Canis lupus familiaris: one gene and its partner. The protein of the gene in region 2 binds, or shares a complex with, the protein of the main gene of each other region. Links are inferred from orthologs where the notes say so. Each region holds a gene or a part of one and is shown on either strand. Other genes may lie near its edges.

Evidence for each region. Proteins that work in one complex are often made in the same cells at the same time.
Region 1: LRRC23 (region 2) and DYDC1 share a complex: the UniProt entries of both Homo sapiens proteins name them as parts of the axonemal radial spoke complex. The link is inferred for Canis lupus familiaris from reciprocal best matches to the Homo sapiens genes LRRC23 and DYDC1.

The regions. Positions count from the first base shown.
Region 1 is NC_049225.1:30,227,793-30,231,357, reverse strand, and holds part of DYDC1 (DPY30 domain-containing protein 1), read left to right. Parts: intron 1-718; 5' UTR 719-727; coding exon 728-874; intron 875-1,352; coding exon 1,353-1,454; intron 1,455-3,565. UniProt on the Homo sapiens protein: Functions as part of axonemal radial spoke complexes that play an important part in the motility of sperm and cilia. Plays a crucial role during acrosome biogenesis.
Region 2 is NC_049248.1:7,958,873-7,962,902, reverse strand, and holds the start of LRRC23 (leucine-rich repeat-containing protein 23), read right to left. Parts: upstream 2,834-4,030; 5' UTR 2,697-2,833; intron 2,687-2,696; exon of another isoform or gene 2,474-2,686; intron 1,970-2,473; 5' UTR 1,949-1,969; coding exon 1,826-1,948; intron 1,733-1,825; coding exon 1,623-1,732; intron 1,227-1,622; coding exon 973-1,226; intron 402-972; coding exon 271-401; intron 1-270. UniProt on the Homo sapiens protein: Essential for sperm motility and male fertility. Plays an important role in the proper assembly of the third radial spoke (RS3) head and the bridge structure between RS2 and RS3 in the sperm flagella.

The sequences.
Region 1 (3,565 bases), on a different chromosome or scaffold from region 2:
AAGGTTGAATTTTTTTGTTTACTTTTTTGTCCTTGGAGATTCATGGACTTTTGGGGTTTTTTGTTTGTTTGTTTTTATTTTTGAGGTAGAGTATTATGATATTATGGGTATTATGATTTTCTAAAACTACCCTCGTGGCTTGGGAGGAACATCTGGGTCACAAAGATTATGACTCTGGAATCAAGAGTTGGGTACGAATCCCATGTTCACCACGTTGACCTACGCCCCTTACGCCTGGGCTTCCTCACCCGCACAGTGGGCTGATGACACTGATTTTTGGCCCCTGTTGTGAGGATTGAGTGAGACATGCCCTGCTTGGCACATGGCCGTCTCACAGTCATGACGGTACCCTTTTTTCTGACTTTTTTTTTCATCTTTTTTTGTTTAGTTCCTTTATCATTTATTTCTGCTCTAACCTTTGTTACTTTCTTCCCTTTGCTGGTTGGGGGTTATGTTTGTTGTTCATTTCTGAATCTCAACCTTGAGATCCTACAGGATTTTGAAAGTGCTTCTTAGTAGTGGTAATTGTTGTGACATCGGTGGAGTCCTTTTGGAAATTGTTAGGTGTTTCACCAAGCCAGCTTGCTAGTGTCATCCTTGGTGGGAGGTGCCCATGACAGGATGCAGTGCTCCGTTGGCCTCACTGGACTCTGCTTTTAGTGTGACTTACTGAACATTTCCTGCATTAATGCAAAAACATTTACCTTTTTGAAATCAGGGGGGAGAAATGGAGTCGACATATCTGCAAAAGCACCTTGGGACATGTCTAACTCAAGGTCTTGCAGAAGTGGCAAGAATTCGCCCAGTGGATCCAATAGAATATTTAGCATTGTGGATTTATAAATATAAGGAAAATGTGACCATGGAGCAACTGGTAAGTAGGGATCTTCTTTTAGAAAATTAGAAGAATAAGATAACTGGTCCAGTTTGTCTACTTTTTTAATAAAAAGTTCAATGTTATTTCTGTTATAAAAATAGTAAGTATGTTTATTATAGAAGAAACTTGGACAATATGAAAAAAAAAACAGAAAGAATAAAAAATACCCCAGAGAAGATTTCTTTTTAGATTTTTAGGTATTTTCTTCTAGTCTTTTTTCTGTACATTTCCTATGCACTTGTAGATTTTGTTTTTTACATAATTATGATCATACCCAATGTATAATTGTAATTTTATGCTCTTTGTTCAAATAAAACACATATCTCCCCAAATTATTGCACCTTTTCTAAATGGTTGAATAAAATTTGCTTCCCCTTTTCCCTGTCATTGGTGATTAACACTCTTTCAAGATTGTTTTTACAAATTATTCTGCCTCAAATTAGTCATGTGGTAATTGCTTTTAAAACCCTGCTAGAGACAGAAGGAAATGGCTAACTTGGAGCGGGAAAGAGAACTAGCTGAGATTGAGCAGGAGATGATGGAGAGGCTCAAAGCCGAAGAACTCCTGTTTCAGCAGGTGAGACATGCATGGGAGTTTGGGGGACACTGGAGTGAGCTTTGTCAGCCTCAGTGTGGTGCAACCCAAATACTGAAAACCTCCCCATCTCTAATTAGTTAGCAGTGGCTCTCTTCTATCTTCGTGTTCCTGTGTTTCTGTATCTGTGTCTTCTTTGCCGGAGAAGCAGCAGCAGTGGAGTGGGAGGAAAACCCAGGGAGTGTGCTCTCATGAAGGTCAAGGGGAGAGACCCAAGGGGTCAGCCATGCCTACTGTTGGTTGAGTGAGAGCAAGACTGCAAAGTGCTCATTCAAGACCATGGTGTGTGGGGGGTGGGATGTAACAGGGAAGATGGTGAGTTTAGGTGATGCTTTCAAGGGGATTTTTCAGAGAAGGAGGTTGGGTTTTTTTAAGAGCAGAGGGGCAGGAGGGGGTTGATGTTAAGAGGGAGAGGATGGTCTAGGTACATGTGGGTGTATAGGTTTTATGGCACGAAGTTTAAAACAGTTTCTTCATGACTCTTTCTTCTTTATGAAGTAGGGATGATGATCATCTTCCAAGAATGAGGCGATAAAATGGCAGGTGCGGGGAGAGTGGTGATGGTTTTGAAATAGTAGCTTTGTAGAATGGTAGCATTGACTGGGAAACTTAGCATTACCTGGTAGCATTGAGTACCCTGTCAGAGTTAGAAACCAGGCATATATTTTCTTAAAGATTATTTATTTATTTACTCATGAGACACGCAGAGAGAGGCAGAGACACAGGCAGAGGGAGAAGCAGGATCCCTGCAGGGGAGCCCGATGTGGGACTTGATCCCAGGACCCCGGGATCATGCCCTGAGTCAAAGGCAGACGCTCAACTGCTGAGCACCCCAGGCGCCCCGAGACCAGGCATTTATAATGTTGCCAGCTAGTTTGGTTTTATGATCCTGTAATTTTTCTTCACTTAGGCCTGAAGGCCTGAGTGATGATGTGCAAGGGGCAGCGCCTGTGACTGACGTGGGTTTAGGGTAGCACGTTGGGGAGCTGAAGGTGCTGGGAAGAGAATGGTTTCAGGGATGAGTCATGGATTGTAAACTAGACAGGGAAGGTTCCAGAGTGGCTTTTGGACTAATTTAATTTATGGACAGCTTCTGAACTAGATCTAAGTTATTCCTATTGTTCTGCCACACGGTCCTTAACTCCAGGGTCTCGACTCCAGTCTAGAAGCCTGTTGTTTGGGTGTGTGAATAGAAAGGAAACTATAGACGTGGCGAATAGCTTCTCTGCCTAACCTGTCACCTCTGCTACTGGGATAGAACATTCTAGGCACCCGAGACAGATAAGGCTATTGAAAACTTCACTGCTCCTGAATCTTCATTTTTCAATCGTTTGGTTTATTCTTATTTTTTTTTAATCTTTTTTTATTTTTTTTAATTTATGATAGAGAGAGAGAGAGAGAGAGAGAGAGAGAGAGAGGCAGAGACATAGGCAGAGGGAGAAGCAGGCTCCATGCACCGGGAGCCGGACGTGGGATTCGATCCTGGGTCTCCAGGATCGCGCCCTGGGCCAAAGGCAGGCGCCAAACCGCTGCGCCACCCAGGAATCCCTGGTTTATTCTTATGTGGAAGTTGCAGAGCGTGGAGCCAGATATCAAACAATCATCCAAATGGGCAAACATTCTGCTGCAGAATTGCCCCAACTTTGAGTGAGAATCTGCTCTTCCTCTTTCAGCTTCTACAACTAGTATCTGTCCCCTGTCTCTCAGACTGAGGAGAACATCTTCCTCAAGACAATTCCATCACAAATGTGGGGGTACTTAACTTTCTTTGGCTCTTCTACTTACCTTACTTAGCGAAAATTTGGCAATCCTAGAAATCAAGCACTTCTCTAGCTGTATCCTATTGATGGGTGTGAAGGGATCCACTGTACACTGAACCCTGAGCATTGTGTTGGGATTGGAAGATAACAAGAACGTTCTGCAGAAGATTTTATGACCGTTAAAGAAACAGCTTGGTGGCCAGAAATAGACGGGAGAAGGAAAGGGAGCCTGTGCAGAGAAGGTCTACAGGAGAAGAGCTTAAGAGAGAGTGAGGCCGAGATGCACAGAAACAGAGAGACGCTCTGAAGTCACCGTTGAGTCAAGTGAGCCTG
Region 2 (4,030 bases):
TTATGCTACAACCTGTGTCAAAACAAATTGTCTCTATTCTCATGTATTATGCATTAGCAGCCCTGCTAGGTAGTAAGGATCTTGTCTGTTTTAATTTTGCATCCCCACAGCATCTGGCACCAAGTGAGTGCTCAATAAATGATAATGATAAATGAACCAAATGATCGTGATGATGATGGTGTTAGTAGAGCCTACTAGAAGCCAGGCATCCTGGCCCCCAGAACACCACCCTTTTCCCTACACCAACCACCCTCTAACCCAGCGAGCTACCAGGTAGAGGTTCTTCAGCTTAGGAAGATTGATTCCCAGAGTGCTCTCCAGCTGGTTCCCCCGAAGCTCCAGTGTGTGCAGGCTGAGCAGCTTCTGGGGGTCCAGACCTGTCACCCTGCGGATGCGGTTCCCTAAGGAGCAGGAGAGTGTTAAGAACTCAGAGGACCGCTTCAAATGTTCAGCAGCAGAGCCTGAATGTTGGGAGCCTCTGCATCATCCTCTCCCTCCCATATGAGGTGGCTATGAGGAGGGACAGCTCCAGACTTAACACCTCTGGGGCCCTGGGGCACTCCTCCTCCCTCAAATCTTGGCTCAGATGTCAGCTTTTCAATGACCCTTGTCCTAACCAACCTGTTTGCAGTTGCTACCTGTGCCTATCTCTAGTCCCTTTATCCTAATCTATTTTCCACCACACATATCTCCTCTTAACATACTCTATAGATTTACTTAGTTATTACGTTTACTGATAGTTGTCTGTCTCCCCCTGACTAGAATGGAAGCTGTATGAGACTAGGGATTTTGTTTGTTCACTGCTACATCTCCAGCACATAGAAATGTCATAATGGAGCATAAGGACTGTCTGAATGAATGGATGGATGGATGGAAATTGCTGTGTGGCACAGCCAAAGACCACACTGCCCACTTCTGTTGGCCCCAAGCTAGGAAGGAGAGAACCTTGTGTAGCCCAACTTAAGGACCTACCTTTGAGATCCAGGCTGCCCAGACGAGGGTGAGAGATGCCCTCAGTGTCAGTGATCTGGTTATGGGCAAAACTGGCAACCTGCAGGTAGGGCAGTTCATTCAGCTGGGCACTCCGCAGATTGTTGCCATCAGCCTTGAGCCAGAGCAGGTGGGTAAGGTAATTGAGTGGCGACAAGTCTGTCAGGTGGTTCTCAGAAACATCCACATAGCGCAGATGGATGTAGGAACGCAACAAGTAGATGTCTGTCAGGTCCCTAAGAGATGAAGGAGGCCAGAGTTAGGGTTAAGTACCCAGTAAGGAGCAGAGGTGCTAAAGCAGAGGACAATGTGGAGATGGAGAAGAATGGGTGACTGATGGGAGTGGTGAGGGAGGAGGAGAGAAGATAGGTGGGTTCTTAACAGTGATCAGGGGCATATGTCTGCAAAGAGCCGAGAACTGACATTCTGATGGACAATTGAAGGAGTCCAGTAGGAATTCCCCAGGCTAGCTCTAATGTGGGGAGTCACAGGGCTCTGGAAAAGCAAATTCTATCCTTCCCTTCCACTGGCCAGAGTAAGAGAGATCCAAACTCCCAGCAGCAACACCCAGGAATGAGGGTGAGAAAGGAGATTGGGCCCTACGACGGCAGCCTGGTCCTCCATAAGCGCACCTCTCTTTAACCTCCAGCTTGACATAAGCATGAGCCAGTCCATTGCCTGTCTTACAGAGCAAAGAAAGCCCTTCCTTCAACATGTCCTCTGTGAGTGGCGTGGGCATCCACTGCAAGAGGAAGTGGAATCAGGCATCCCCTTCCAGCCCAACCCCATCCCTTAGCCTTAGGACCCCACCAATTCCAGGATTTCATGCTCTCACTTCCTCTGAGTACTCCTCTCCCTCCTTCTTGTAGTCCTCCCACTCCTCTGTTTCCTTCTCATCATCTTCCTTTTCCAGATCATCCTGATCTGGCTCGAAATCTTCCAGGTCTTCATCTGACATCTTTCTTCTCTGCTGACGACTCTGGAGTAACAGATCAAGCTCAGTGCCCCTCCCAAGAAAGAATGTCTGTCTCCTCGGCTCTCTGATCCCTTGCCTCCATTGACGGGATACCCTTCCCATCCATCATCCCTGACCTCCTCCCAACTGCGTTTCTCTCCTTATCCCTGCGAACACCTCATTTTGACTCCCAGCCTCCACTTCTGATGTCCCACCAAGGACTTCTGTCCCTTCAGTACGCCTTTCCAGGCCTTTCCAGCCCTCCAGCGGGGCTCCAACTGTCTCATTGTAGCTCCGCCTCCCTGCTTCTTGGCCTTCTCCTCCCCAGTTCTTCCCACCTCCTCCTTAAGCCACGTTCCCCTACCAACCTCCTACAACCCTCTCCTCCTTTCTATTCCTAACTCATGCTCCATTCATTTCTTTTTTACTTTCCCACCCTAACTAGCCCCATTTCCCTGTCCCCTCTGGGGCACCAGACTGACGCAGTCTCCAACCCTCCCACCCAATCCTTCGCAGAGGGGCGCAGACCCTGGCTCTGCTCCGCTAAAGGTGAGGTTCCGGAGAGGGTCTTGGCTCTGACTGGGAAAGGTTGTTTTGGAAGAGGGGAAACGCTCAAGGAGGCGTTGTGTACTGCTGTTATGGCAACGAGGGGGCGGGACACTTGGCTACTTCTTTGGGGCAACCGCTGAGAGGAGGGCCTCGAGGGGCCCGCGACAAACTGAACGGAAAATCCGCCCCAGAGCAAGCGGACCTTTAGTCGCCGGGTAAAGAGGCCAAATTCCCAATCCGATTACAAGCGTTAATTGGCAGGTAGCAGGAAGCAGTGGGTGGGGCTTGGAACTGAGAAGTGGGAGGGGAGATGGGTGGGGCTATGCGAAGTCACTCCAGACGTTAAAGGGACCGCACATCCTCAAAACAAAAGTATTGTGAATTCCAAAGAAATATGCTCTGAAGCTAAAGGGGGAAGAGGAGCAAGAAATCCCAAGGTACGTGGTCTGGTTTCTACTCCCACCCCAGCCTTGCACTCAGTTGATCTTTGGAAGGTGGCTTGGTGGAGTGGAAGGAGCCCAGGCCAATGTACCTTAAGACCTGGGTTGAAGTCTTGGCAGATCTGCAGTTCACTAGCAGCTTACCTAAGACTACTTTCTCATCTGTAAAATAGGCTTAGCTACACCAACTGAGGGGTATGAGTGCGAGCGTAATCTATGCTAGTACATTGTAGATTGCTAAACCCAATCTACAATGGGTTGGGTTGTAGATTGCTTCTCACTTTTCCTCATAACTTGGACTAGTTTGATACAAACTTCTTGGGGGTGCTAATAAGAGAGAAAATCCAACAAGTGCCCAATGAAAAACTCTTCATCCAACGTTGTTATATAGACAACAAGACCTGATAGAGCCATGCCCAGGCACTCAGGTCTGTGTGACTTGTTGAAAGAGATGAGAAAAAAGTTAAGATTCAACAAATATTTCCAGAGCATTTGTGTCAGATACTGTATGAGATGCTTTCACAAGTGATTTAATTTTTACATCAATCCTGTGAGATAAATACTTGAAAGAAGAGGAAACTAAAGCTCAGGGCAGTTAATATTTATGACACAATTCCTGCCGGGAGAAAGGAAGACAGTACCAATCTTTTTTAAAAAATATTTTATTTATTTATTCATGAGAGACACAGAGAGAGAGAGAGAGAGAGAGAGAGAGAGAGGCAGAGACACAGGCAGAGGGAGAAGCAGGCTCCACGCAGGGAGCCTGATGTGGGACTTGATCTGGGGTCTCCAGGATCACACCCTGGGCTGAAGGCGGCGCTAAACTGCTGAGCCACCAGGGCTGCCCCAAGACAGTACCAATCTTATGGAATCTAATATAAATAAAACAATTAGGCAACAAGGTAAGAAATCATATGATTGTTAAATTGTGTGTTACAGATATTATAAAACACGCAAAGTGATCTAATGGAAGATGTGGTGGGCTGGAAATCAGGACATGTTATCTCCTGCCCTGTCCAGCTTGGATAATACAGACAAATCTGTTTGAGGGACGCCTGGGTGGCCCAGTTGGTTAAGCGTCTGTCTTCTGCTCAGG